Linked DNA regions of Drosophila melanogaster. The protein of the gene in region 3 purifies or fractionates together with the protein of the main gene of each other region. This does not show direct contact. Each region holds a gene or a part of one and is shown on either strand. Other genes may lie near its edges. The genes, in order: Mis12, Kmn1, Nuf2 and Prp31.

Evidence for each region.
Region 1: the proteins of Nuf2 (region 3) and Mis12 purify together in Drosophila melanogaster (affinity purification with mass spectrometry; 2 studies listed by BioGRID). This does not show direct contact.
Region 2: the proteins of Nuf2 (region 3) and Kmn1 purify together in Drosophila melanogaster (affinity purification with mass spectrometry, with the first as the bait; 2 studies listed by BioGRID). This does not show direct contact.
Region 4: the proteins of Nuf2 (region 3) and Prp31 purify together in Drosophila melanogaster (affinity purification with western blotting, with the first as the bait; one study listed by BioGRID). This does not show direct contact.

What each region holds. Positions count from the first base shown.
Region 1 is NT_037436.4:6,964,687-6,972,513, reverse strand, and holds Mis12 (Mis12), read left to right. Parts: upstream 1-3,465; 5' UTR 3,466-3,579; coding exon 3,580-3,649; intron 3,650-3,712; coding exon 3,713-4,005; intron 4,006-4,117; coding exon 4,118-4,300; 3' UTR 4,301-4,479; downstream 4,480-7,827. Other genes in the region: CG10063 (uncharacterized protein), read left to right, coding at 156-222, 285-856; CG9953 (uncharacterized protein), read right to left, coding at 961-1,088, 1,161-1,632, 1,695-1,833, 1,895-2,682; CG10064 (uncharacterized protein), read left to right, coding at 4,707-5,131, 5,194-5,898, 5,971-6,200, 6,263-6,479, 6,543-7,194.
Region 2 is NC_004354.4:11,570,136-11,574,999, reverse strand, and holds Kmn1 (kinetochore Mis12-Ndc80 network component 1), read left to right. Parts: upstream 1-2,557; 5' UTR 2,558-2,601; coding exon 2,602-2,809; intron 2,810-2,867; coding exon 2,868-3,211; 3' UTR 3,212-3,617; downstream 3,618-4,864. Other genes in the region: CG11696 (uncharacterized protein), read right to left, coding at 1-947, 1,017-1,142; Reepl1 (receptor accessory protein like 1), read right to left, coding at 1,476-2,198; CG11699 (uncharacterized protein), read right to left, coding at 3,700-3,831, 3,892-4,133, 4,224-4,290.
Region 3 is NT_033779.5:7,062,431-7,070,742, forward strand, and holds Nuf2 (Nuf2), read right to left. Parts: upstream 3,408-8,312; 5' UTR 3,336-3,407; coding exon 3,035-3,335; intron 2,975-3,034; coding exon 2,602-2,974; intron 2,545-2,601; coding exon 2,031-2,544; 3' UTR 2,001-2,030; downstream 1-2,000. Other genes in the region: Sem1 (suppressor of exocyst mutations 1), read left to right, coding at 1,656-1,767, 1,823-1,950; Ugt307A1 (UDP-glycosyltransferase family 307 member A1), read left to right, coding at 5,553-6,208, 6,260-7,112; Pvf2 (PDGF- and VEGF-related factor 2), read right to left, coding at 7,731-7,881, 7,991-8,312.
Region 4 is NT_037436.4:15,157,353-15,166,270, forward strand, and holds Prp31 (Pre-mRNA processing factor 31), read left to right. Parts: upstream 1-1,747; 5' UTR 1,748-1,817; coding exon 1,818-1,916; intron 1,917-1,972; coding exon 1,973-2,424; intron 2,425-2,486; coding exon 2,487-3,105; intron 3,106-3,164; coding exon 3,165-3,500; 3' UTR 3,501-3,611; coding exon of another isoform or gene 3,612-3,747; 3' UTR 3,748-3,786; downstream 3,787-8,918. Other genes in the region: Msh6, read right to left, coding at 1-75, 134-1,135; CG7011 (uncharacterized protein), read right to left, coding at 3,612-3,747, 3,813-4,020, 5,148-5,485, 5,635-5,986, 6,056-6,143; CG6878 (uncharacterized protein), read left to right, coding at 4,651-4,781, 4,905-5,013.

The DNA.
Region 1 (7,827 bases), on a different chromosome or scaffold from region 3:
ATGGGATTTTCTTCGGAAAGAGTTGCAACTCTGGCTGATGATTGTCAAGTTGGCCTTGCCGCATTCTGCTTTTTGTCAGGCATTTTGGATTAATTCGTTTGTTGAAATTGTCAATTGCTTCAGTGAAGAATTTTTAATCTGCTTAAACTTGGAAAATGATTCGCGCCATGGTAATGACCAAATGGAGTAAGTCGGTGGCGGGACCACTGGTCACAGCGTGGAGTAAGTGAAGCAGGCACGTGTTTTTTTCTTAGCAAACTTTAACGCCTTTTCCCACCATAAAGACTACTCCACATTGAATCGCCTCAATGGCAATACTGTGCGCCCGCGTGCTCTGTTCCTGAATCTCGACCGCAAGTTCTCCGCCGAAGGTGGCGGCGATGAGAAGCCCAAGAACGTGCCGCCTGGATTTGCGGCTCCAGGGTTTCCATCCACCTTGGGCAATAACCCAGAGAACACCACGCGTAAGGATGTGCCCATTGGCGAGGTGCAGGCGCCAACTATTTCCGTAGTGAACGCAGGCGGTAAACTGGGCAGAGCTGAGCCACTGGAGGCCAGCACCATCGTGCGCAGCAAGGGCACTTCGAACGAGGACAAGATGACCGAGGCGCAGAAGAAGGCATCGGAGGCCAAGGAGGCGGCCGCCAAGCAGTTGCAGGATGTCATGGCCAACTTGCCTAGCAAGGAGCAGACCGAAAAGTATTTCTTTCGCGTGGTTGCCTTCTTCTATGACTTGACCTACCTAACCGCCACCTGGTTGCTCAACTTTGTCGAGCACAATATCGTTCAAAATGCCAAGGTGCAGCACTACTGGAAGCGATTCCACGAAAAAATGGAGCAGGCCAAGAAGGATTAACTCCCAGCGGAGCCGAAAAATATATTATAAAACTCATGCGAAAGCAAAAAATAAAACAACTCGCTGACGAGTACAAAATTACACTTGACTTGGCCACTTTTCCATCAGATTAACGCCGAGGTGTAGCCATCCAGTAGTTTGGCCAAGAATTTGAGTATCTTGTTGCGAGCGGCCACCAGTTGTGGCGGATCGGTTTTCACCGGCTCATACATATTGGCGCAGTGAGCGGTTCCTAAAAAAAAAAACACAATAAATGCTTACATTACCCAAGTTATATGTGAAAAATGTGTTGGTAAGCACATACCTTCTATGTAAATGGTAGGAAGTGCTGCGTTCGTGGACTTGACCAAGCCCAAAGCATGCCAGGGATCAATGGAACCGTGCACGTACAACACATTTGTGGTCTTTGGCTTTAGGGCGCCATAGTTATCATTTGTGGCGGACACCACCAGTTTGAGGAACTTGGCGTTCATATTCTTGGAGAACACATCCATGCACTGGCGTATAAAGAAGTCGACACCGAAGCGATCACCAAATGTGTCAGCCGGGTTATCCGAGGTCTGATAGAAGCCGAATTCGTGGCAGGTCTGATATGTCCACTGGCGCATTCCCTTGGCCGTCTCCGAGTCCCAGGAAACGTTCTTCATGTCCGCCACCATCTTGTCGTACTTGTAGTCCAGGCAGGTGGTGTTCGATTCCTTCAATAGCATATCGTTGACCAGGCCCAAACGGGTCACAGGTGGACCAGCCGTGGTGTTTAGCATGACATCGCAGATCTATGGAGTTCAAACATTCTTAGTATGGACTTGATAGGGATCAAAGTGAGGATGAAACACACGTCGTCAATGGTGATGGTGGCATGGGGACTGTTGTCCTTGTTGTATTGCACCACTCCAGCAAAGTTGCCAGCCAGATTCTCAAAGAAATTGGCCATGTCCAGGTCGTTTTCAATGGAGTCCTTGATGGGAGTGCATGTTCTGAGTATAAAATGGTTTACAAAATTAAAATTTGTGCAGGACGATAGCCTAATCCACTCACTTGAACTTCTCGTCCAGGCTGCGTTGTCCAATCATGTGCTTGAGTAGAATCTCCACTTGCGCAAAGCTGCGGGTCACGGCGTCCACGCATTCGGGCTTGTAGGCAGCTAGAGAGGCTTTGACCACCTCGAAATACTCCTTGAAGTCAACCTCAGCCAGCAGAGGACCACTGGAGCTAATTGAACCGTAGATGAGCTCGGGATACTTCTCGCGTGCCCAGGCGGCCAGCGATCCCGGATAGGAGCCACCGAAAGCGATCCATTTCTGGCCATCGCCCAGATTGAACTTAACCTTCATGGCGGTTACAAAGCTGGCCAAGTCCTCCAGAGCCTGCTCCGAGCTGAGATAGTGCAGATTTTCGGTGGACAGATCAGCGGTGGGATGGCTCTTGCCATAGAAACGATGCTCCAACTGCAGACACAGCGCTCCAAAGTGCTCGGCATAGTGCACCCAGGCTCCTTCGCGCATCCACTTGGCCGACGCCTCGCCCTCGCCACCGATCATCAGGAATACGGGTGCGGAGCTGTCATTCCGATAGAAGTCGGCATTCACAAAGTATCGCTGCTGCCAGGTGCGCTTATCGCTCGACTTGAAGTGATCCAATCGCTGCTCGAACCACAGATCCTCCGAGTGCAGGCTCCTTTGCAGGGTTGGAATCTTGCTGGGCTCCCCGAGGAATCCCTTGGTCAGCCTTCCGCGTCGAAATCCCATTCCGGAAATGGGCGCAAGCAGTCCCAGGAGCAGAAGACCCACTCCCAAGGGCCTCAAAACGCCCCCAATGAAAAGCATATTTGCTTCCTTTGTTTGTTCGGGTCAAGTAGAATTTGCCAGTAATTGAAGTATTTAATTAGTTGGAACCTCGCACAGTGCCTAACTGTAAATAGCGACTGAAGGAGAGTGGTGTGTTCTATTTATATAGGCACCGTTATGTGTGTCGCACTCTCCTGATTATTCAGTTCTCGCTGTATTATCTATATTCGCAAAGCCGGCAAAGCAAAACTAAAACAGTAGGGGCATTCATAGTTATTGATTTCAATCATTAATTGAATTAATTTAATTTTAAGCAGAGAAAGATTTCTGTATGCTGTAAGTGTTCTGGTAACTTTACAAAACTTAATTTAGCTTTTTATTTATTTATATTATTTCCTAGCTAGATATTATCGATGAGCTTAATAGCACCGTAAATGTGAACGTGTTTTGCAAAATTTTTGTCAAGTAATTAAGAAAAGTATACATTCTTGCATGCTTTGATAATTTCCATCTGCGTGTAATTTTAAATTCTCACTGAACTAATTTAATGGAAGTTTCCTGAATTTCAAATGCTTTAGGTAGCTTTAATAAACAACATATAGTTTATTTGAATTATTCCATATATTAGGTAAATATTATTGTGGAGTTTCACTGTGCCGTTAATGCGAAAGCTTAATAAATGTATTTGTCAAAAATTTTAGGAAATTGTGCATGTGTATGCGTTGTTTTTATATTTTTCATCTGTATAGTCAGTTATAAGTAGCCAAATTTAGTAACTAGATTTTGTAGCTAAGTATGGCAGCACTGTTGCTGTGGTAGCATCTCTTTGTATTCTGAAAACGGTAACACTAATTGCGCGACAATTTGGATTGTTTACGTTTTTATCCAGTTTAATTGTAATATAATTTAAAAAAAATATTGTTGTTAACTGTCATAATGGACTTCAATAGCCTAGCCTACGATCAGAAGTTCTTCAATTTCACAGCGGCACAGTTGTCTGCAGAGCGTGAGTGCTACATCCTTATATCTCTGGATCAGCGTCCTTTATCCATTAATTCCTTTTAAATAGGCGAACATATTGTGCAGGACATAATTAAGAAGGGTATTGGTCAGATCATCGACAAGATCAAGACACCCGCCACAGCGGAATTGCTGGAAGCCGAGAAGGAGACCGTTGAGCGTCGTTTCCAGGCATCCGCCTCCAAGGGCCTAAAAGCCCTCAGGGAACTGGACAGCAAAGTGTTCCACGTTCCACCGCATGTGCTGCATCCGGAGCACATGTTCGTCGAGAATCAGTATACCAGCGAAGAGGAGGAGCAGAAGACAGCCAGGTTGGAGGAGCTGAAGGCCAAATACAGAGAGGTAACTTGTAGAACCAATGGAAACTATCTTGTATGCCTCATTTTAATCATTATAATGGGGAAAAGGATGCTTTATTTTATGTTTTAATAATGCTAAATCACATCAATTTCAGAACATGGCCATGCTGGCGCATTTGAAGATCGAGGAGGAGAAGTACGCCGCCATGGAGGATCTCATCCAGAAGGAGATCGAAATGCAGGATCGCGTGCAGCGAAGCTGCTCCTCCCTCAACATCACCAAGCTGAAGCAATTCTGGAATCAAGTGCCCCTGCAGATAAAGAAGGAGACTGATTAAATAAACTAACTGGATCAAGTTTTTTAATCTACATTTCCAATATCTTCTTTCGAAACTAGTTTTAACCCTGGAGTCATTTATAATCACTAAGACTCTTCTATATTCCACTTTACCTATTATTATGTCGTTAACTTAGTTTTAAACTTAAAATTAAATTAAATTAAAATTATTATGAATCCGAAACACCTAGATGATTACTTACTAGTTTTAAACCAATTTACCTTAGCATTATATTAGTTCCTTTGACAACAGCGGCAACCAAGCAACGGTCGCTGTTTAAATTTTCCAACTGCCTTGTTTTCAAACAGAAAACAAGCCGGTTAAAAAGTTTCAAGCACAGAACAGACACAAAAACCCCCTTATATGTTACATTTCGAATCGTATATTTTGCTATAAGCCTGGAAAAATGGGAGACTCGCACGATGTCTGCAGGCAGCTGCTGCCGCGCGCAATCTTCGGCATCAATGGCAAGGTGGAGAATGGAGTGCGCCAGCATCCGGTCACGGGATCCATCATCTTTGCGCTGGGCAACAAAATCGGCATCGCCGACTACAAGAAGAATACGCAGGAGTTTGTGGCCGGACACACGAACACCATATCGTGCCTGGATCTCAGCAAGAGTGGCAAATACATGGCCTCCGGTCAGATCAATCACATGGGCTTCCGCGGCTATGTGATCATCTGGAATTACGATCAGCGCAAGGAGATCGCTCGCCACGATCTGCACAAGGTATCTGTGCAGGCCATCTGCTTTACTGCCCAGGATAGATGCGTTGTGTCCATCGGTGGCGTGGATGATGGTTCCGTAATTGTCTTCGACATGGAGGCATTGTAAGTTGTTCATATCAGAGCTCATGCTTGAACTCCTTCAATGACTTCGTTTGCCATTACAGCTCTCCCATTTGCCAAACACCCGCATCGAGGGCCATCTCTGGAAATGCCTTGACTGTCCGGCCGTTGCACAACAATCCCTACTTCTTTGTGACCGCCGGCGATCGCCATCTGCGTCTGTGGAGCATCCTGCGTGAGGAGAAGAAGCTGTACGTACAGGATGTCCTAATGGCCAGCAAGACACGGGTTTTCTACTGTGCGCGCATCAATAAGACGGATGAGTTTGCCTATCTGGGCACCGGAACTGGGGACATTGTAAAGATCGTGCTCAACTGCTGCGATCGTGATCATGTGAGCAAACAAGGCTCAACCAGCTGCATCCTCGGAGCCTTCGGCACCCACAATCCCAGGAAGCCAACGGGCAGGGACTGCAATCGTTATGTGAATGGTGTGCGTGCACTGTATGTCCTGGAAGGCGGACGTCTGCTGATTGGAGCGGGAAATGGTGATATAGAGCTGGTGGAGGAGCGTACCGATGTGCCGCTCATTAACTTTCGCGATTATCCCGGACCCACATGGCCATATTTGCGCACCCTGAAAAAGACGCACGTTTCGGGCAGAATCTCGTCCTTTGTGCGCTCGAAAACGGACATGTTTTACATCTGCACGGACACCAACGAGATCTATGGGCTGAATATCAAGACTTGGGTGCTCAAGCTGCTGCGAACGTGCCACACCAAATCGGTCTACTGCATCACGTTTCCCAAGTGAGTTTGGATGGAACTAACCCTTCTACTTGCAATCTATTTGCTACAATTGATCATATATATGTATTTAAGGAACTACTCTGGTGTCTTTGCCACGTCGGGCAAGGAGTGCATCCGCATCTGGTCGTCTGGTCGCAAGCAGGAGCTGCTCCGCATCATGGTTTACAACTTCAACTGCGCCTGCGTGCGCTTTACCCACGATGGCACTAGCATAGTCTCCGTTTGGAACGATGGCATCATTCGCGCCTTCACTCCCATCACCGGTAGACTCATCTACGCCATACCCAACGCGCACAACAAAGGTGAACTTTGGGAATACCAATCCTTCTAAGCCTTCTTACTGAAATCCTCTCGTTCAACACAGGTTGCAGTGCATTGGCCGTGGCCTCGTCGGGTCGCTTGATCGTCACTGGCGGCATCGAGGGACAGGTGAGGGTGTGGAAGATCGATCCGTATCGCCAGGATCTCGTCGGCGTGCTGAAGGATCACTCGGGGCCCATAACCTCGCTGGATATCAACTATCTCGACACCGAAGTGATCTCCGCCTGCACCGATGGCTCTTGTGTAATCTGGGACATTAAGTGAGTTAATCTCAGTGGCAAAGTATAGCATGTATTCCTCATTCACCAAGTAATCCCCACCAGACGCATGACCCGCAAACAAGTGGTGACCGCTAATACGCAGTTCATGTCCGCATCCTACTTCCCAACTGGAGTGCAAGTGATCACCTGCGGCTCGGACGGCAGAATCATCTACTGGATGGTGTACAATGGAGCGTTGATCAGGGAACTAACTGCGTCCAAGAAATCGTCGGTCAACTGCTTGGCCATCAACGAAACGGGTGACTACTTCATCACCGTGGGCAGCGATCTGCAGGTGAAGCTGTGGGACTACAACAGTGGTGCTGTGGTGGGCATCGGATCGGAGCACGCCTCCTCCGTGATCAGTTGTGCGTACAGTCCCTGCATGACCATGTTTGTCACCGGCAGCACGGACGGATCGCTGATCATATGGGATGTGCCGCGTGACTTCTGGGGCAGGCCCAATCCGCCGGATGTCACCAAGTATTCGCTACCAAAGACATCGTCCAAAACCAGGATGAGTGACGTGCCGTCGCGGGTGAACTCGGGCACCAATCTAAAGACGACCAAGGGCGAGAACATCGATGGCCTGCTGAAGGCCACTCCCAAGGACGATCTCTGCTGCGTGGAGTGCCCGCCGTGCGCCAAAAAGGATACCAAGGGCGTGGATCCCTATGCCGAGTGCGGAATCGTTCCCGATGTCCGCAAGTGCTGAGATTTTCCTTTCCAATTTCTTTTTGTCGTGAAATAAAGGCAGTTGTCCTTTCTAAGCTTGATTTAACTGAGATTATTTATGGGAGCTTGATTTTCTAGGATAGATTGGCCTTCTCTTTTATAAATCGTATTGTAAGTCATAAGGAGATATGGCTTTGAATAATAGTCTTATTAGATTAAATTGATTGATTGCTGAAGGAAACCAATTTCAAATTCAATTTAATTTGATCAAATGAGTATTTGGTCACACTTAACAACTGTGTTGCATCAAACATGTTCGTCGAACCAATTTTCAAACATGAAAATGAGCAAGCAAAATATTTTAAACTTAAAATTAAGTCTCAATGAAACAAAGAATATGGTAGTTCATATGTTTATGAACTATTAATTTGTTTAGAAACGAAAGTTTTATATTTTAGATTCACAGTATGACCCTGCTGGCGTGTGGTGTAACGGGCGGCTCGCCCCGCGGTCACACTGAATTACTATTGGCCAGCCTTGTTGTTGTTGTTTTTCGTGTTCGTAAACTAAGAGTTCGTGTGCATGGATTTTTAGCCGCATTGGTAGTAGTTACTGTCGCTCCGCCGCCGCGTGAAGTCAGATTTCTCCGAGCGCTCAAACGAACAGCACGCGA
Region 2 (4,864 bases), on a different chromosome or scaffold from region 3:
TGGCAGCTAAAGTACTGCGGATCCTTGTGGCAGTGCAAATGGTCGACGTACAGTGTCCGCTTCTTGTACCGATTGTTGCAGCACTTCACATAGCCAGTGCAGTCGTGCTCCACGCGAAAGTGGCGCTTGAGATCGTTGAAGTCTTCCAGCGGGGCGGCGCAAATGGCGCAGTCGAGCTTAACATTGGCGGCTATATAGTCGTCCATTTCCTTGATGCTGCTGCGCTTGACGGGCACCTCCGAGGTATCATCATTATCGTCGGCGGTTACCAGTTTCTTGGTCTTGGGTCGGCCACGTTTGCCGCGCGGCTTTGGCTGTTCGTCGGCATCTGGTGTTAGCTCGCCCCCGACATCTTCTTCGTCCTCCTCGTCTTCGTCGCCATCCTGATCATCCTCTGCTCCAGCACTGCTGCGTTTAAGTTCCCTTTGCCGGGCTCTTGATTCCCGTAATGATAACTCTGTGATCTTGGCCTTGTTCTGCTGTTTGCGCTTCTCGTACTTCCTTTTGATGATTTGATGCGTTTGCTGCAGCGCAGTTTTGCGCGGCCTGCCCCTGGGGCGCGGTTTTACCGGATCCGGCTCCGGTTCTTCTTCTTCATCTGGCTGCGATTCCGGCTCGAAGTCCGGTTCAAAGGTGTCGCCATAGTCACTGTCTTTTTCATCGCCCGCGGACAAGGCGTCGATGACGGGTTCGCACAGTATGTGATCCTTGATGTCATCGCCCTCATAGCTGAGCTTTGGCTCGATTGGCGACTCCGTGTTCCACACGACCAGGGCGGGCTCCGGCTCCGTCAGTTCGGGCAGCTCCGGCAATTCAGTTTTCAGCTGCAAGGAGCGGTGCAGCGACCGCTGCTTCTCCGCTACCATGGAACAGAATTGCTCGATCTCGGCCAGCTGCCGCCAGCAGCGGTTGCACAGGCACGTGGACACCACGTCGTTTTCCGCCAACTGAAAGCGAACAATTCAATCATTAGAAAAAAACATCTTTTTGGGGTAGAAAAGTCCAAATCCACTCACCACCAGCAGCAGATGTCGCTCGATCAGCTCGGCCAGCTGGCGATGTGCCGGTTGTCCCATTGGCGGTTCCTGGCCGAAAATGGGCACCCCGTGCTCAGCATCCTCCAGGCAGAGTCGGCATATCATCTCATAAAAGGAAGGACACAAATCCCGAGTCGAATCGCGTTAAATGCAGCTGTTTTTGATTCGTTGCTGAGTTTTGTTATGTGAGCGTTACCGGACCGCGAAAAGAGACCTCCGCGACTGATTGTGCAAACACAAGAAAATAGGCTAGAAAAAATAGCTAAGAAGATAACCAACACATTGGTTCAATATTTTGTGACTAAAATTAATCAATTTAAATGCTTTTTTTGTATAAACTTTATTGCGGTAAGGTTAGTTTATTTCTGAGATGTATGCTTTTTGAAAGCTCTGAACTTTGACAACTTCCGCCTGACATATTGAGGATATCAATTGATGTCACATAAACTGCGACGAAAGATTCATTTCTTGCTGGTTGCTTGATGATGGCTGACGCATTGGCTTCGGCGGCGGTATTGGTCTCTCCTTGGGCTTGGAAATAGGCTCCTTAATAACCAATAAATCAGATTCGGATCCGTGCAGCAGATCCATATTTAAATCGATATTTTCTCCCAAAACCTCGTTGATGGTATCAGATAAGTTACCCATCTGTTTCCGCTTCTCTTCCAACTGCCTTTTGGCTATGGCATCGTTGACCAGATCCTCGATGCTGGGCGTTATTTGGAGGGCAGGACGATGACCGCTGGGCAGGAGATAGCGATCTGCCAAAACCATCAAATGGCTAAGAACGGAGCAAACTTGTTGCCACACCAATTCGCCCCATTCCAAGGTGATACGTCCCAGGACCTGGTCGAAGGATTCGTTACAGCTAAAGGATCGCAGGAACTCCTCGTAGATCACCTCACTGCCGCCGCCCACAGAGGGCAACATCCAGAACAGGAGAAGCACCTTGAACTCACTTAGCAATGGAATAAATGCCAGCAGACCCGCTGTGAAATAATCAAAGGCCACATAAACTCCATAGGCAATCCAGTAGATTAACCATCCGCGAAGATCATTGACGCTACAATTCTGACTTTTCAGGATCTTGTAGGACGCGAATGCTGGATAGAAACAGCCCACCAGAAGGGACAGTATGTGTATCACGATCGCATAAATCATTATTTGGAAATTTTGGATAATCTTAAAATTTTGGATTTTGAGAAAGTATATATATAGCTGTGTATTCGGTTCTCGATTTTGTTCATTTGGTTTGACTACTTGAACAAATACAATAAATTGAAATGTGATTCTAAACGCAAGGCCTGCTTAGCATTCATAAAATGACTTATGCCCTATAACCCTTTTCCCCTTTTTTAGTTCAGCTTTTTTTCAATGAGTATATATCTTTTTATTAATATTAAAAGTGCAATTTTTTATATCGTATATTTTAATTTGTATAAAAGGTTTTGGCTTGAAAAGAGCCAGAGCGAATTACGTTCAAAAGATGTGGCATCACTGGATCAGCGATGGGTGTTGGCAAGCGTTTACGGATTTAAAAACTGAAAACAAACGAAGCGACGCGATGGAGCCAGCCGAAAGTCCAGAAAAATTAATGAAATTCGTACGCCGCAGTGACGTACTGGAATACGTGGGCAACACGAGTGCCGTCGATCTATCGAGCGGTGATCTCTCCGACATCGATCTCAAGGACGTGCCGGCCCAACTGGAGGCCACTTTGAAACCGCGTCGCTATGAAGCAAGCACTTTGTTTAACATTGACCTGGACGATAGTAAGTGCAATCCTTGTGGTTAATTAAATTGCCATTTACTTAACGTACAGACTTTCAGTCTGGGATCCTAGCTGTCAGGAGGACGAGGTGCAGCAGTACAAGGAGCGCGCCCAGAAGGAGCAGCAAAAGTTCTTCGACTTTGTAATGCATGCGGCACTGGACACGGACAATCGCAAGGTTAGCTTCAAGCCAAACAAGGAGCAGCAGCGTTACCTAGATCAGGGACCCAATTTGCAAAACTTCGTGCGAAGCTCGTTGGCTTTCACAAACGCGGCCATCCGATTTCAGGCGGAGCACGAGGACATGATGGAGCTGCAGTGCAATATGGACGATCACTACCTATTCATGCGGAACACCATGATCAACAACGCTATACACCAGAATATGGCCAACCAACGGTGACCCTAAGCTATGCATAAATATACATATGTGAATTGTAGATATTGATAAATTAAATTAAGACTCAGAGATTGTAAGACGGTTTGCTTTTGGCTTATACAGTATAATTCGCTTAGCTGCCTCGAGTACTTTGCACAATGCCTCGATGCAGGTAACTTAAAAATGCAGCTAACTTAATTTTTTTTTTTCTATTTTCTATTTTCTATTCACACAAAAAAATGGAAAAATAATGCAGATATCTTGCCGATGCAGCTAACTATCGATGCAGCTAAGCGAATTATACTGTATTTATTTCTACCCTAATATGTAACTCCCTAAGTTGCACTTCTGATGATGGCTGCCTTTAAGTCTGACCGAAAGAAATGAAAACCGATCAAACGTCTTGAAAACATTGTCTGTATGTAAACTGAAGTTAACAAAGGTTTCGTTTTATGTTCTGGTCTACTCAGGCGTTAGGTCTACTTTAAATTGTGTGTATATTTGTGAGCTGCTTATTCCTTGTTCCAGGCTGCCAGGTATTTCATGAGGTCCGTGAGACTCTCGAAATCGGTGCGGCTGGCTGGTGGTTCGTCCTTGGTGATTCTTGGCAGTGCATTGCCCATCTTGAGGCGGAACTCCTGGAACTGCGAACGAAACGAAAGATTTAAAGCGAAATTCATTGAACAAATCGGAGGCATGCTCACATCCTTGGCTCCGGATAGCTTCCAGAAGCCGTAGCAGAAGGCGCCGGTGCCCATCACGGCGTACAGTGTGCCCCAGCCCAGCGCCCGCAGGGCCAGGGTGGCGCCCTCGTCCATCAGGATCATGCCTTGCCGCGTTCCAGCCTGCTGGAGGACCTTGCTATCCGTCTTCTTGGCGGTGGCCAGCGTGCGCGAGAAGCCGAACAGAGCGGACACCCCGCCCACCAAACCCAGAAAGGCGGCGGCTAGAAAGGAGGATGAAATGGAGTTGTACTTCAGTCAGTTGCTGGCTGATATATATGCGTGTGTCTGTATGTGTTTGGAGAACCACCTACCCTGGATGCGGAACTTGCGCTCCTTCTCGGCGGCCACTGCATCCGCGCTGGTGCCGGCCTCGCTCATCCTTCTCAATTGCGATTTATTGTTGTCGTAACTACTAATGCCCGAATTGGATCGCACAACACAGCTGATTGCTTGACCGCTCTTGACAACCAACACTGGTGCCGCAGCTGCCACTGCCACTGACGCGTTCGCAGAGGTGCTAAGATGGCGGGAGGGAAGCTAGAAGTGAAGTGCTAAAAGATAGTTCAAAATATTCAACAGGTACTGGCCTTTCTCACTGACTATGAGAGTCAATTTGATTTTAATGTGCTGCATTTAATTTATTTGTTAAATTACTAACTAATACTAATAGATATATTTATATAAAAGATATAGCTAAAAAACGTCAGTCTGGCAACCCTGCTACAACGACCGCAATATGGTATGGTATTTCGCCGCTCGCCCTGCAGTCACACTTTTCGGTCGGCGTTGTCCGCATTTTCACATCGCATCGCGTCTGAAAAAACGGGCTAATTCGCATTCGCAATCGCCTGTAGGGCCCGACTGGTATAGAATGCACGCCCAGCGTGCCAGCAACAAACAGTGATTGTTTACCCAGCCTTCTATTTGGGCTTTCGCGTTTTTCGAGCTCCTT
Region 3 (8,312 bases):
TGTTTTTTGAACAATAACCGAATTGAAGTCCAAATGGATAGACGGACTGCTCGTATTTATGTATTTACTTTAAAGCATTTTATTGAGGCTAAGCTGATTAATTTAACTCTATTTACATATATATCCTCTAATATTTAAGAACGCAAATCCTTGTTACGAACTGTTGACTTGAAGCAACAAAACAGTTGGCAAAACCGAATGCTAAACAAATGAATACATATTTAACACTTCCTCTATATGTGATACAACACTTTTTCTAGAAAAGCTTTCATATTATCTTATAAACTAAATAGAATTAACCACTCTCCACACACTGTAAACGATCACCACTACTTAAGTGGGCTGGCAGCAGCAGGACAGGCTCTTGTTCAGGGATAATCCAGATGAATGAATGTATGTCCCGATCCCACGGATATGTGTCCCATCCAACTTGTCGCCCCATTTAGCTACAGCAATTACGGAAAATCGGAGCTTGTAACAAATTGTTAAACGATGATAATAATTGCATTGAATTTAATTTGATTTGTGCGTAGAGCATCTGTGATGAATAATAATGTTTAAAAAATGACGGAGAAGGAGCGAAGTGGAGAGCCCAAAACCACACACAATACTGATCAACAATATTACTAATCAAATATAAGGTGTTTTATTCCTCGTATATAACATTAGCAGACTAAATGTAAACACAAACGAAATCAAACAAACTATTTAATTATGTAGATTTGCAGACCGCAACAACTAAATGTTAAATGTTGAACTAGAGTTAAAATTGTGAACTCTAGAAACCGAAACTAACGATGCAACAAAGGAGTATATATTTTGGCATACAAAATTTTTACCATTAAGTCAACTAAATGGAAGAATACAAATTGTGAAATATGTTTTATTTTTACTACATTTCGGACAGCACGAAAACCAGCCCAAAAATAGACAAAACTTAAAGTTCGCTATGCAATAAATCAAAAGGCAGCAATTCAAGAACGGAAACAATATGAAAAACTATACGCATATAACATATATATTTATTAATGTTAACATATGGTACATTTTTGATCTAATTGTTTAAAATAGCCAACCAGCAGCAACAGTTAAATTAAATGTAGCTTAAAACCCAAATGCTCAATAATCCCTTTAGCTTGAAAACTAAATAGCCAGCCGTAAAAATGTTATACAAATCATTAAATGCATATAAAGCCAATTTTAAAGTCTACAACAAACCTGAGAAACTTGAGATCTTAAATGAACTTCATTTTTAAAGTGCTTCAACTTTTTCGGGATTGTAATAGCTTGCGTTTGAATTCAACTCACAATTTAGTCGGGTGAAAAGCCTAATTACTTAATTCTTTTACTAGAAAAGGAGAAATATATTAGAATTATTAACGGCTGTGTCAAGTTGCCAAATATCTGCCAACATTTGTTTGTAATATTCTTAATTAATTCTTTAGCCTTTTTTTCTAGCTATAAAGTTAGATTTGACATCACTGTCGGGTGCCAACGGTATTTTGAAAGTATTTTTTCCTGTTCACTTGGGTATATTTCGACGGTACAGCTGCGGTCACACAATTAAAAGTGACTGGCATCATTTAGCAACAAAAAACGCGAATAGCGTCAAAAACATTGTTTTATCGCCGTTGGAATTAATAAAAGCACACAAAATGTCTGCCCCAGATAAGGAAAAGGAGAAAGAGAAGGAGGAGACCAACAACAAGAGCGAAGACTTGGGTCTCCTGGAGGAGGACGACGAGTTCGAAGAGTTTCCCGCCGAAGGTTGGACGCAATAATGTGGTGGTACATCGGCAGTTTCTAATCACTTTCATTGTAGATTTCCGCGTTGGCGACGACGAGGAAGAGCTAAATGTGTGGGAGGACAACTGGGACGACGACAACGTGGAGGACGACTTCAGCCAGCAGTTGAAGGCCCATTTGGAGAGCAAGAAAATGGAAACGTAAACCGGCACCGACCCCTTTGTTCAGTCCTAACCATAAAAACGAGCTGAGCTGTTTTGCATTAATAGAATAAAATCAGTATATTAAGTGGAATTCATCTGCCAGTTTTGTCCGAGAACCTCATGGATTTGCTCATTTAATATGGCATATAGCTGATCTTGCTCCAAATTTTGCTGGTCTAGCTCGATCAAGTGATTATTCAGATCCTCCAGACGTTTCTTGCGATCCTCAACATCGACCTGCAGCTTTTTGAGTTCATTTTGCACCTTGTGATTCTCGGCATCGTTTTCCTGGTTTCTTTCCTCGTACCGATGTGCACAAAGAGCGAGTTCCTGCTTCTTGGCCTCTGCATCCTGAAGGAGCTTCTGATAATTAACTTTACAGGTGGGCAACTGCTTTTCCACTGCCTCCAGCTGCTTGAAGCTCTCTTTGTAATCATCCACCTTGCACAGCGAAAGCACAGCCGTGGCCTTCTCCAAAGCGGTGGCTATATGTTGACTGTTTTCGATCATCCGGCGATGTTCATTCGTCACCTGTTTTTTACTGGCCAGCTCCGTCTTGCAGCTCTCGACATGCGACGATGCGCTCTTAATTTTCCTACAATGTTTGACATTAAAATAAGCACAGAATCTAGGCTTGCCCGACAGCACTTACTCTCGCAGCTCTGTCACTTGACTGTCCTCCACCACTAGCTGTTCCCAGTGACCGATGCGTTTGTCCAGCTCACCCTGCTGCTGCTCAATGAGTTCCAGAGTGTTTTCATGCTCGCTACAGGACTTCTTCAAAGGTAGAAGCTTTGCTTGAGTATCCTGCAAATCTTTCTTGAGTTTGTTTATGGCCACTTCGCAATCCTTCGTCTTCTGGCTGCATTGCTCCAGCTGTTGACTTTTGGCCTTCACCTCGGCGGTCAGCGAATCCTTTAGCTTAATGGCCTCCTCTACAGGTCCCAGCACCTTCTTTTTGAACACCTTGTAGTAGGCCAGATGGTTGAAAAGGTAGCTCAGCGTGGCGAGCGTTTTTTTAACAGCTAATAGCCAAAGAATTGTTTAATAATAATTGCTTATTGTAAGACCGGCTGCCGGCTCACCTGGTTTAATTATGTCCATATAGGTGTACGTCTTGTTGGGAAAGCTGATCTGGACGATGCGCTCCACTTGGCGGCACACTCGGATAAGAAAGACGCGCGCCTCCCGCGACGAGTGACCGAGTTCGGTGCCAATCTTATAGGGCGGCTCCAGGCGAAAGCCGAAACTCCGCAGATAGTGCACCATGATCTTGGTGACAATGGGCTCGGTGGGATTGGCCAAGTCGCTTTGGCAGATATTGATGTCGGGCATCAGGCAGTTGCCCTGGTCCATTACCCTTTCAATTTCGACTGATAACGCCATTCAATCCAGAGTTTTAATTTTTAATGGCAGTTTTTGAATGGAACGCCGCTAAGGGATCAGATTGATGTGACCAAAGCTTGCTAGCCCCAAAAAACCACTAAAATACTAACTCAGAATTTATGTGGTTTTCACACCTATAGTCCTACAGCAGATTCTCGGGTTTTTTTATCCGGTTTTCTTTCCCGGCAGCTAGAAAATACTGCATTTGTTCAGCGCAAACTTAAAAAGTAACGGAAAATCTGGCTAAAGTTACTAAGTTACATTTTTTATTGGTGAGTGAAAACTCTGGCTTCCTCCAGCGCTGCAAAAGATGATGCTAAAAATCTGATATGCCCGTACGGGGTTTTCTCCAAAACTTGGCCAAAAAAGGTGGCACAGCGAAAATAAAGACTGTTTTGTACTGCTAATAAACATACCTAACTATCCCTATCACTAGTTTTTTGATTTTCCAAAAATAAAATTTTTACAAAATTTCGCATTTTTGATAAGGGGTACCCTCATCAAAATTTGCAAAAAATTGAAGCCTCTTGGATCTTTCAGGTTTCAACACATATGGATAGGGAATTAAGTTACGAACTCAACGAGATATGACATTCCAGTTTTGGACAACTATTCTTATTGCTATTGCAAAAAACTCGTTATTTTTGTAACCAAAAAGGAACGAAAAGAAATTTTGCCAAAAATCGTATATTTCCAATCGCTGATTTCTCCATAACTTGGCCAAAAAAGGTGGTACAGTGAAAATAAATACTGTTTTGTACTGCTAATAAACATACCTAACTATCCCTATCACTAGTTTTTTGATTTTCCAAAAATAAAATTTTTACAAAATTTCGCATTTTTGATAAGGGGTACCCTCATCAAAATTTGCAAAAAATTGAAGCCTCTTGGATCTTTCAGGTTTCAACACATATGGATAGGGAATTAAGTTACGAATTCAACGAGATATGACATTCCAGTTTTGGACAACTATTCTTATTGCTATTGCAAAAAAACTCGTTATTTTTGTAACCAAAAAGGAACGAAAAGAAATTTTGTCAAAAATCGTATATTTCCAATCGCTGATTTCTCCATAACTTGGCCAAAAAAGGTGGTACAGTGAAAATAAATACTGTTTTGTACTGCTAATAAACATACCTAACTATCCCTATCACTAGTTTTTTGATTTTCCAAAAATAAAATTTTTACAAAATTTCGCATTTTTGATAAGGGGTACCCTCATCAAAATTTGCAAAAAATTGAAGCCTCTTGGATCTTTCAGGTTTCAACACATATGGATAGGGAATTAAGTTACGAATTCAACGAGATATGACATTCCAGTTTTGGACAACTATTCTTATTGCTATTGCAAAAAAACTCGTTATTTTTGTAACCAAAAAGGAACGAAAAGAAATTTTGTCAAAAATCGTATATTTCCAATCGCTGATTTCTCCATAACTTGGCCAAAAAGGTGGCACAGCGAAAATAAAGACTGTTTTGTACTGCTAATAAACATACCTAACTATCCCTATCACTAGTTTTTTGATTTTCCAAAAATAAAATTTTTACAAAATTTCGCATTTTTGATAAGGGGTACCCTCATCAAAATTTGCAAAAAATTGAAGCCTCTTGGATCTTTCAGGTTTCAACACATATGGATAGGGAATTAAGTTACGAATTCAACGAGATATGACATTCCAGTTTTGGACAACTATTCTTATTGCTATTGCAAAAAAACTCGTTATTTTTGTAACGAAAAAGGAACGAAGAGAAATTTTGTCGAAAATCGTATATTTCCAATCGCTCATTTCTCCAAAACTTGGCCAAAAAAGGTGTCACAGCTAAACTAATGACTGCTAATAAATATAACTAACTATCCCTATCACTATTTTTATGATTTTCCTAAAACGAAATTTTAACACATTTTCGATAAGGGGTGTAAAACTGGGCGACACATTTGATACATGTAACAATGAACTGGGTGAAACATAAAGGCGTAAGGTTTGAAGTTATCTGACTTAAGCACTTAAATAAATAGTTAAAAACATAAATAACTGTGCTCTTTGATTTTGTTAAATTTGTTAATGGCTCTGATTGGACAGCGCCGTGACGCCACAGTTTTCGACTTGATGTCGTTGGGTAACCAAATCGCTTGTTATCATTTTGATTGATTTATGGTGTGTCCGTGCGACTCTGCTAATTAGCTGCTAATGTAAATTTGAGTCGAGCGCCTCAGTCATGAAGCGTTCGCCGATCAGTTGGTCACTTCTGTGGATGGGCTACACATGCATTTTCCTGCTGGCCGATAGCCCAGCCCCTGTGGAATCCCATCACATTTTGGGTCTCTTTGTCAATGTGCACCGGTCGCAGTTAATGGTCCATTTGGCGGTATGTCGCGCTCTTTTGCAGAGGGGTCACCACTTAACCCTAGTCACCACATTGCCGCTGGAGGAGCAGGAAATTCAGGGAAATGTGTCACACATTTACATTCCCTGGCAGCAGCCAAAAGAGGAAGTATCCTCCTCGGACCTCATTCTGCGCCTGGAACGGATGTTTAGGCGTTTGGAGCATTCTGGAGATCTGCTTGATCTGCCGGAGTGGAAGATGTTTCTCAGAAATCAACCTAATACTCCCTATGATCTCCTCCTCTTGGGCTATCATTTCAACGATCATCTGCTGGGAGTTGCTGCGCATTTCAATTGTCCAGTGGCCATAGTTTCCACCCAACAGCCAACTGGATTTGTCAACAGCCTTATGGGTAATCCCGAGGAGCGTTGGTATGTCCCACAGCCGTATGATGGCCAACAGCGAAGTGGAATCTCGGCCTGGGTCTTTGGAATGTGGGAGAAGTTCATGGAGATTTTGGCGAGGAGAGTGCTGGCAAGGATCTACCGGTATGTATCTAAACGCAGTTGTTTAGCGATCAATTGAGATTTTCTTTTTAGTTTGCACTTTCCCGAACCGCAATATCCCAGTTTTGAAACCATGCGACGGTCGGTGGTTCTGGCTTTAAGTAATCATCACATGATCAGCGAGGGTCCCATAGCTCCACTTATTCCCAGTATGGTGGATATAGGAGGTATAGTCCTAGAGCAACAGCTTGATAAGACTCCTCTGGAAATATCAGCCGGCAATCGATCTCTCATCATCTTCAGTTTGGGCACTCGTTTCACTTGGCGGAAGTCCACTAAAGAACTGGTGCGGACTTTCACAAAAGCTTTTGCTCAGTTTCCGGACTATGACATTTACTGGACCTACGATGGTCCAAATGGTAGTGCCATCAGCTTGGATTACCCTCACCTTAAAGTCGCCAAGTGGTGGCCCCAAACGCAGATGTGGCAAAGTGGCAAGGTTCGATTGTTCATCACTCATGGAGGCAAAGGCAGTGTCTCAGAAGCTCTTTTTTACGGAGTGCCCATGCTGGGACTACCCTTAATTGGCGATCAACGAGATAATCTTCAGAGAATGCAGTCGAAAAACTGGGGTTTGACCTTATCCACCAACAATCTGACGCATTGGAAACTAGCGAAGGCCATAACTAGAATGCTTAGCGATTCGAGTTATGGTGAAACTATATTGAAAGCTTCTCAATTGTATCGCGATCGTCCAGTGAGTCCCAGCGATTTGGTGACCTATTGGATCGAGTATATCGTTCGGCATAAAGGAGCTAAAAATTTGCACAATCCCGCCAGGCAACTCAATATAATCGAATATCATTCCATCGATGTTTATTTTATAGTTTATGGGCTCTTAATCCTAACGATTGCCATACTCAGAAAAGTGAATAGCTTGCTGTGACTAGAAGTATTATTTATTGGATACAAAAATATATTAAATAAGTAGCTAGGAGGTCAACTTAATCGACAATAACTTAAGTACACTCGAATGTTGCTTGTCAATACTTCTGATTGGAACATGGGAATCTATTTAATTTATTTTTAAAGAGGACCGAAAATGACAGTTACTTAAGAACTTTTCTATGAAAGCGTTACAGTGATTTTGAGTTCGACAGATTCTTATGATTTTAATAAATAAAACACTGTAGACTCTTTCAAAAAAGTCCAAAAGAACTAATACTTTCAGTTCTCAATGTCTGATTTTATCTAGTTTCACTGGCATCTTAAACTCAGCTTAATTAAGATTACATTTTAAGTGTATTTTCTGTAAAGTAATCACTTGGTCCAAATATGAATTTGAATCGGTCTTTAATATTATAATATTATTACTCATAATACTAACAACCAAACATAGTATGCCTTTAGTTTGCTCGCTTATCCGAACGAACAGTTCGGATTTCTGGATTTCTTTGTTCTATGGCCATTGCGTATATTTAAACACAGTTTTTCTTCAAATGCCATGAACTTTATAATGTAGATTTAAGTTCTGGCGTTTTCATTCTTTCAATGGGAATTTGGTTTAGCTTTTGCCATTCTGACGTTTTGACTGCAAACGCTGTTGCAGATTGGGATTCCGATTTGGAAGACCCGGGCGTGGACATCGACCGTTCCTCACATCATATGCCCCGTAGTTGCAAAACGGCGGACTGACTTCTCCACTTTGAATGCGGCTGAAAAAATAAAAATTGGGGGTTTAACAAAATTATATGGCACTTAAAGCATTACGTAATGATAATATTGACAAAAAATGGTTTAAAAGTGCTTAAACCTTGAACTCACCGTCGTTCCATCACCGAGAATCCCTCAACGCCGTTTTTCAGCCTCTTGCACGTTTCGTCGCTGAGGTGGCAGTCGCATCGGCAGCGCTGCTCCCTCCGCTCCCACAGACGCAGCTCCAGGTGCTCCTCATTCTCCCACTGCGCACGCGATCCCGCCCAACTGAAGTCCTTGAAGTGCTTGGGGCATAGGCAAATGGGACTTCGTTTCCGGCGCGTTTCCACCTTCACACATCCGCATTCCGTGTGGTTCTCCATCGAGATAACGATGGGCTCATTGGAACGGCCATCCACTTTGTCGAACACCCGATCCACCGTTTCGTTCC
Region 4 (8,918 bases), on a different chromosome or scaffold from region 3:
GAACTTGGTGGCCTTGATCCGCTTGCAGCGCTCAGTCATCATATCTGGAGTTTCCGTTTGCTCAACGCGAGCCACCTAAAGAAAAACTTGTATTAGTTTTACTGGGAAAAGGAGCTATCCTTGGACAAATTACCTTGAAGCCCCTGTCTACGAGAATGGTGGACATCTTGTCGAAGGATATCTCCGGGAAACCGGAGTGAGCAAACTCGCCGCGCATGTAAGTGAAGCCCAGCTCGTTGACGCCCACATCCGCATCCATGTGATACAGTTCATAGAACTTGCCGACTTTAAAAAACAAGACGCAGTCATAGTTGTCCGACTTAAGGACCCACCACTGTCGAACTCCCGGCGACAGGCCATTGAGGAACTTCTCCGGCACATGCAAGGTGCTCTTATCGTAGTCCGGATGATCTGGACGTCTTCCCTCCTTGTCCTTGATCTTGTCCGGTTGCAGGAACTCTAGTTTCTGGTGCGGCCAAACAACGGGCTCATCCAGATTGGACGTGTTGGTCACGATATCATCGTAGGAAGCATCCTGCTTGGCATTGCTCTGCAGGTTCTTCAGCTTTTCTTGAAAGGTTGCACCCTCGGCCAACTGGATGGTCGACTCTAGCTTGACCTTCTTGCTCGATGGCTCATTGTTATTGTTGTTATTCAGAATCTTAGACTTTTTGCGCGATTTCTTGGGTGTCGGACTGTCCACGGACATGTCGTTCTCGCTAGGCGACACCTCCTCCGCGCCGCTGCTAACGCTATCATCGCTGGCTTCATTCTCATCCGGTTCGTAGTCGGAGGCGCAATCGGAGAAGTCGTCCTCCGACTTGGTTACCTCCATTTCCGGCTCACTGTCCGATTCCGGCTGAACGATGCGCTTCCGCTTGCGTTGACCACTGGCCGGCTCATCGTCGGAAATGGGCAACTTCCTCTTGGCCGCCGGCTTGGAAGCCTCTTTCTTACCATCCTTCACTTTTGGCTGCTGGTTCTGGAGATTCTCCTTTTCGCTCTTGGATGCATCGGGATCTGTTTTCACGCTAGGAGTCAATTTCTTTTTGTCGAAAGCTGGCGACTTGGAAAAGTAATTTAGTAGCGTGTTTGTGGGCGTCCCGCCCACGCTGGTGTTTAACTTCTTGGACATGACAATGGCCTAGAAACGTCTGCCAGGTTACTCAAAAAACCAGGATGCAGACGCTGCGATTGTGCGCCAAAACCAAAAAATATTCTGTCAAATTGTGGCTTAATAATACCGAAATAGTAGCTTGACTATTTAGTATATTTAGGGAACTCGTGCCCGTTGGAATTTTCGAATACCACTGAGGAGATTTTATTTTTTCGTTACAATTTGATGCTTCTTATATAATAAGTCATTTTTTTTCATTTTTGATCTGTGTTTATCTAGGCTTTGTTGTCCCAAAATAAATAAAGAGTGATAGTTAAGAATTAAGCAAAACAATTGATAGCCATACCTATATTTTCATCAACCTTATATTTTCAACCATATTTTCAATTCCTTTACTTTTAGATACAGAATTCTAATTAAGCAGGAAAATCGAAACTTTCCAGAATAATAACAAGAGTTATGATATTGGATCGTTCTGTTCATGAAATGTTTATTGAATTTGGTCAAATTGATCAATTAAAATCCAGTGGAATAGCCTTATGGTATTCTTTAAATGAATACCCTATATATTTCATGCTAATACTTAGTATTTTTTCAATGAACCGCATGGTATTCTAAGGCGGCTGAGCAACGGTCACTTCAATTCCAAAACAAACTTAATTTCACGAGATCGCAAAATAAACTTTTGAAATAAGCCAAAATGTCGCTAGCCGATGAGCTTTTAGCCGATCTCGAGGAAGACAATGACAATGAGCTGGAGGAGGAGGATTCGGAGATGGCCAGTGCAGAGGACGAGAGCGTAAGGAACCAAAGCAAATGTTGATCAGACCTAATGATTCCCCTCCCACAAAACAGTTGCTGGCGGAGAAGCTGGCTAAGCCGGCTCCCAATCTGATGGACGTGGATGTAACCGTGCAGTCGGTGCGGGAACTGTGCAAGCTGCGCGACTCTGAGCGCCTGAAGAACACGCTGCAGCAGATCGAGCACTATGCCAGTCGCCAGAGAACTGCAGCCGAAATGCTGGGATCCGTAGAATCCGATCCAGAGTACTGCCTCATCGTGGACGCTAATGCCATAGCTGTGGACATTGACAACGAGATCTCCATTGTGCACAAGTTCACCAAGGAGAAGTATCAGAAGCGATTCCCCGAATTGGACTCCCTGATCGTGGGTGAAATCGAGTACTTGCTGGCGGTCAAGGAGCTGGGCAACGACCTGGACCAGGTCAAAAATAACGAGAAGCTGCAGGCTATTCTCACGCAGGCCACCATTATGATTGTGTCAGTCACGGCGTCCACCACACAGGGGTAAGTTATTTGAACGGTGTAACCCAAAATAACATGTCACTGAATCCCATTCCCTTTCGCAGAACCATGCTGACACCGGCGGAGAAGGCAAAGATCGACGAGGCCTGCGAAATGGCCATCGAACTGAATAACTTCAAGTCCAAGATCTACGAGTATGTGGAAAGTCGCATGACCTTCATAGCCCCAAATCTTTCCATGATTGTTGGAGCATCGACGGCGGCTAAACTCTTGGGCATTGCTGGTGGCCTTTCCAAATTATCCAAAATGCCGGCCTGCAATGTTCAGGTGTTGGGTGCACAAAAGAAAACCCTCTCGGGCTTCTCACAAACGCAGATGTTGCCGCACACTGGCTATGTGTACTACTCACAGATTGTGCAGGATACTGCGCCAGATCTGCGACGCAAGGCAGCTCGCTTGGTGGCCGCCAAGTCCGTGCTGGCTGCTCGTGTTGATGCCTGTCATGAGAGTGTCCACGGGGAGATTGGACTGCGCTTCAAGGAGGATGTGGAAAAGAAGCTGGACAAGCTGCAGGAGCCGCCGCCGGTGAAGTTCATAAAGCCGCTGCCCAAACCCATCGAGGGAAGCAAGAAGAAGCGAGGAGGCAAACGCGTGCGCAAGATGAAGGAACGATATGCGCTGACAGAGTTCCGCAAGCAAGCGAACCGCATGAATTTCGGAGACGTAAGTTTCTGGCTTAAAAATATAATGGTTATGTATTAATCTTTGAACTTTTCTTTCAGATCGAAGAGGATGCCTACCAAGGAGATCTGGGCTATTCACGCGGCACCATCGGCAAAACTGGCACCGGCCGCATCCGATTGCCCCAGGTGGATGAGAAGACCAAGGTGCGCATTAGCAAAACGTTGCACAAGAATCTGCAGAAACAGCAGGTGTACGGCGGCAACACCACGGTCAAACGCCAAATCTCCGGAACGGCATCCAGTGTGGCCTTTACGCCACTGCAAGGTCTAGAGATTGTGAATCCGCAGGCGGCGGAGCGTTCGCAGACGGAGGCCAATGCCAAATACTTTTCAAACACATCCGGATTCATGTCAGTGGGACAGCGGACCACTTAAGAGAACAGCTCTATCCTTATTTTCTATAAAATTAAGCACTTTTATTTGGAGATTTGTCGAATGTATATTGAGTTAGGCGTAGTAAAGCTGCATAAGAGATTCGAATTGTTGTTAGCTGAGCTTGCCGACTTCCAGTTTCCGTTGAATGGCCTCCCACGAGTTGTTCAGCAGCACGGCGAGAATGCCGGCCACCGTGAACACGCCTCCGATGATGGAACAGCAATTCGTGGCGAAGTGGCCAAATGAGCTGGGAATACACAACACAACCAATAAAACTTGTAAAATTAACCATTAGCTTTGTGGCTTACTGACCTGTGTCTCTCCGCATATTTCACCATCAGTGGCGAGAGCTCGTAGCTGAAGAATATCCCCGGCATTCCGCGCTCGCGATCTGAAAGATCTTTTCGGTATCGCGTGACGGAGAATTGATTCGTGTATATGGGCTCGCCGTCGCTGTTTCCTCGCATATATAATGTGGGAACAATTTTTAAATAGTAATTGAACATTTCACTTTTGGTTTCTGCAAAAAGAGGAGAGCAGATTTTCTAGTTTACTTCATTTGTCGTTGATAAATGTATTTAATTTGGTAAGGTAATTACGAATTAAACTTCATGCTTCTAAAAACAGGTATTTCACAATTCGAACAAATGAGTATATTTTTTCCAATTTAAAAAATGAAAATGCCCCACACAACAGACCTCCGAAGTTTCCCAGAAATTCTTCGAGGAGTAAAATATAAATTAAAATGGATGCCTGTGCTTAAATAACTTAGTTTTTTTTTATTTCAGTCTTAAGTATGCTTTTTAATAATATTAATAAATAAAGAATATAAATTGATTTTAAAGCACCCGCTTTTTAGCTACCGCCCCCTATCGGCTTTCTCTAGAACGAGGCAAGCCGAGCGAAAAACAAAGTGGCAACCCTTCTATAATTTGACAGCTCACGCACACCATCACTCAGCTGCTCACACTCACACGTTTACGAATTATTCGACTAGTCGGTGCCGAAATAAATAGAAATATTTTGAATATTCCTAAAATAAACGAACCTTCTGCGAGATTCATAAGTGCGTCGGAGCAGCGGAGCTTGCTACTCAGCGGTATCAACTCATATAGAGCCGGTGAACCAGGAAAACCACGGACTTAGCGGCATGCCTCTGCCTACGAGCTCATTTTCCCAGCAGGGACCAACGTGCTTCGATAAGATGAAGACGGGCTTCATCATCGGATTCTGCGTGGGCATGGCCAGCGGTGCGGTCTTTGGCGGGTTCTCGGCGCTCAGGTTAGTTGGACTTTGCACTCGGATGCTCCACTTAGCGCTCCTCCAAAGAAGTGACGCAAGTGGAGGCCGGCAATTATGTAATTACTCCGGCTAACTAACGAACCACATTGAAATACACTTTAGATACGGACTACGCGGGCGGGAGCTGATCAACAACGTGGGCAAGACCATGGTCCAGGGCGGCGGAACCTTTGGCACCTTTATGGCCATCGGCACGGGGATTCGCTGCTGATCCTGCTGGCATTTGACTAGAGTTACTAAACAACCACAACCTTAAGCCCTACTCCAATCTTGTTTAAATTACGCTAAGTTATTGCAATAGAGATGTTACAGAATTACGAGTCCGTGTTTGTGTTCACTACTCACCAGCCACGTCGACTCGTAGTCCATCCAAGGGATGCGTCTTGGCGAACTCTATCTTCTCGCCGAACGATAGGTGATTGATTGTGTGCGATAGCTTCACATTGCTGAACTGAAAGTCATGGATGTGGAACTGGCGGATGGAGAAGCTCTTGCCGGGCGCAAAGTGAAAGCTGCCGGCCATTCGATTCACTTCCAGGTGACCCTGGATGCGACAGCCCTCCTTGAAGGCGTCCTCGTCGCTGCGTTTGTACTTGCCCTTACATTGCTCGATCTTGTCCACGGCCACGGTCCATTTGCGCAGCCGGTAGGCGTCGAGAACATCCTCGCACGTGTTGCAGCAGCTAGATAGGATGGTAGTTGGTATTAAAAGGGGGAGATTAGAAAGCCATTGCTATAATTAGCTCTAGATACAGATATCTCCTTAGATAAATCTTGTCAGCGAAAATAGGTGGAACTAATGGTTGAACTTAGAAGCTGTTCACTATCTTACTGAGTAGCATTGTGCTCCGCTCCGTAACAACTGCCGCAAGTGACATTCTTATTGGGCGGCGAAACTGCAACGATTTCCTTGATGGGCGTCTCCTTGAGGGGCTCGCCATTGAGATCCAGCCGGTGCTTAAAGACGTCGTGGTCCACCCTCAAGTGTGTGTCGCCAGATGAATCCATTGCGTCCAATGAGATGTAGTTGCACGCCAGATTATGCAGTGTCACGTCCAGATTTATTCTCAACTTGTGATCACGAGTGGTGTCCACGAAGAGCTCTTCATTTAGGGTTGGCTGCATGTAGTTGAGGACCTCGAGGAAGATCAGTAGGCTTATGATGCTGGTACTGATAATTGTAACTGAAAATCAGAGAAAAGCCGGTTGTTTGGGTTCCTTAACGCCACAATCAATTGTACACCTGCACCCACCTGCGGCGCCGCCCACTGTGCGAACGCTGAAGTCATCCAGTGTGCGGGGATAGGCGTCCAGGCGACGCAGCACGTCGGCGAACTTCATCGTGAACACGTAAAAGGAACAAAACAGACGAAATGCAGACGTAAACAATAAATATTACATCGTTTTTGCACAAGACAGGTGACGTGTTGAAATTGGCGTTGCCAGTACGCCGCAATGGTACGGCCAAACAGATGTTCGCTGTGGTTCGGTTCGATTGACTGTTATCGTATCCGTATCTACATGCCAGCTCTTACTTTACATGTCGCATTTTACATGTTAAAAATCGGGCGAGATGCAGTAATTGTAGATAAGTATGCAGTTTTAAAAATAAATGGGCCACATCAAGAAATCTTAAAACTATTTTATCCGTTTATAAGAGGTAAATGCCATTGACACAATATAAAACGCTTATTTAAGTGCTTATCTTATTAACATAGAAACTTATGATTAGATCTTACATTGCATTACAATAGCAACATGCATGCCAATTATTACATTTCAAAAAAATACAATTTAAAATTATAAAGGTTATAAAAATGTTTTTATTTTAAGCAAAGTTTTGCTGAAACTGCATGATTATTTAATGTTAAAATTTAGCTCTTATAGTTCCCAAAATTTGATTCGTCTGGTGGTATTGATTTTGATACACACTTTACATTTACTGTTTATTAACGAATACAAAATACCCTCACTGACTATAAGCAATGATTTAAAAAAATCCAATGTCAAGCCTTACATTTATATAAGCTTTAACTTTTACTTAGGCGATTTTTTGATTTCATCCTTCATTAGCCGGAGCTTTACCCCATTGATTGCGCATACGCCGCGTTGGCCCGGCGACAATTAGGACCTCCGCTTGGCCGTCCTTTCCCATGGCCACGAATAATGTTTAATAGTGTTGTCATGTCTTGGGGTTGTGGTTGTGCATACATTAGGCCGCCATTGCCCACCATCGGCAATAACACCACCCCCCCACTCAGACGCCTTAACCCACTGCTGCTGCTGTGGTCCAGGAGACCGCGTCTAATTTTATAATACATGTTAAACAGATGAAAGGTTAATTGAAAGGAACCACAAGTTTCGACAGCCCGCGCAGCTAATGCTTAGCTTTTAGGGGTTGCAACCCCCACACCCCACAAACCCCTTTCAAAGAAGCGGACTAATAGAAGACCGTGGTTTATCCCCGGGGATTTTGGTTAAAGTTAAAAGTTTTCGCCTAAATATAAATCACCAAATGGCTTTTCGCCCGACTGATTGAAGGTCCATGAACCCAGCATCCATGTAGGGTCACAAATAATTGTATGTAGGTGTAGAACATACCGCGACTTTGTGTAATTACCAATTAAGCTCAAGTTCCCGATGCTTTCTCATTTTCCTGGCCACTCTACAGTTTCCTTTGTCATTTCTTTCGCCGACTTCACTTTTTTTTTGCAATTACCTGGACAAGAAATCTGTAAAATCAGGCAAGGCAGCAGATGACAAAGATTAGCCAGCGGTAATTTTACACTTTTTTTACTTTCTAAATTAAAGTAAATGGATTGGAAAGGGTATGGAATAGAGCATCACGCTTTGGATCTGGGAAAGTTCATAAAAAAGTGGAAGTGTCAGTTTTAACAATGTGTAACTGTATGTATAAATATGTAAATATGTAAATATGTGAATATGTAATATGTAATATGTATGTATAAATAATAAACAATGATACCATGGATTTTTAATATATAACAGCTTGACTTTGACCTTACACATTTTCAAATAAAGTTTTTTTTATTTAGGCCTTAAGCAAAATTTAAAAGTGACATATACTTCGAGATATAAACTCAATTTTTGAATCTATCCTTTCTAAAAAATTGCCACAAAGTTCTTAGTCCTTTTATGGGTCACTTTTAAATTGGATTTGAAAATGTCTCAAAAATATTTATCCCTTGGCTTCGCCGACTGACAAGTTCATAGCCCTTTTTCCTAGTATATCCTCTTATATTTGCGCAACTTATGGCCACAGGGCATTCGGGTTTTCTGCCATGGCCATTTCCCTCGACCACGCCCACTCTTATCTCCCGCTAATTTGCATTTCTAACCATTTCGCTCTAGCCAATTCGCGTCATTTCTTATTTGAAACAATGAGCCCAACATCAGCCAGAACAAATAGCGGAGAAGGAGTCATTGTGCTACGGCTTTGCCGGCAATAAAAGACTCCGGAGACAAAAGAACCGGGCTAAAAAAAAAGAGCGAGAAGAGAGCGTGTCAAGAAACTTGGAACCCGGAGCCGGAGAATGGGTAAAGAAAGCCAGAAGAGAAGTTGGCGTAAAGCAGCTTAAACAATCAGGACTGCCTAATGGATATTGACACTTTAATGCCCTGGCCACCAACCCAGGCTCTGATTCCGATTTCGAATACGCACTGCGAAAAAACCATCTTCATTATTTAAATTTAAATGCAAGGCACATAGATACACAATTAGGTACATATTAATCTACTGACACGCTAACTCAAATTCACTTTTTCCTTCCCATAGTCAAGGAAGTGCTATTATTCATAATAATATTCAAGAGGAACTTGCTTTTTGTACTTACTTACGTATCTATAGTATAAATAGATAGCACTATCACATTTTGAAGTAAATTAAAAAACTAAATGAAATAAACAATTATAAGACGCTTTAAGATTTATTGTAAACTATATTTTGAAATGCAAGTGAAAATTTAATTAGCTCATACTAAATCAAACTAAAAGGGCGCAATTTTCCCTCCGTGTAGATTTCAAATTGATATTGGATTGGGGGAATCCCCGCGCGGGAGGCTGTATCCATCCGTGCAGATGTCCTGCTCTAATTCG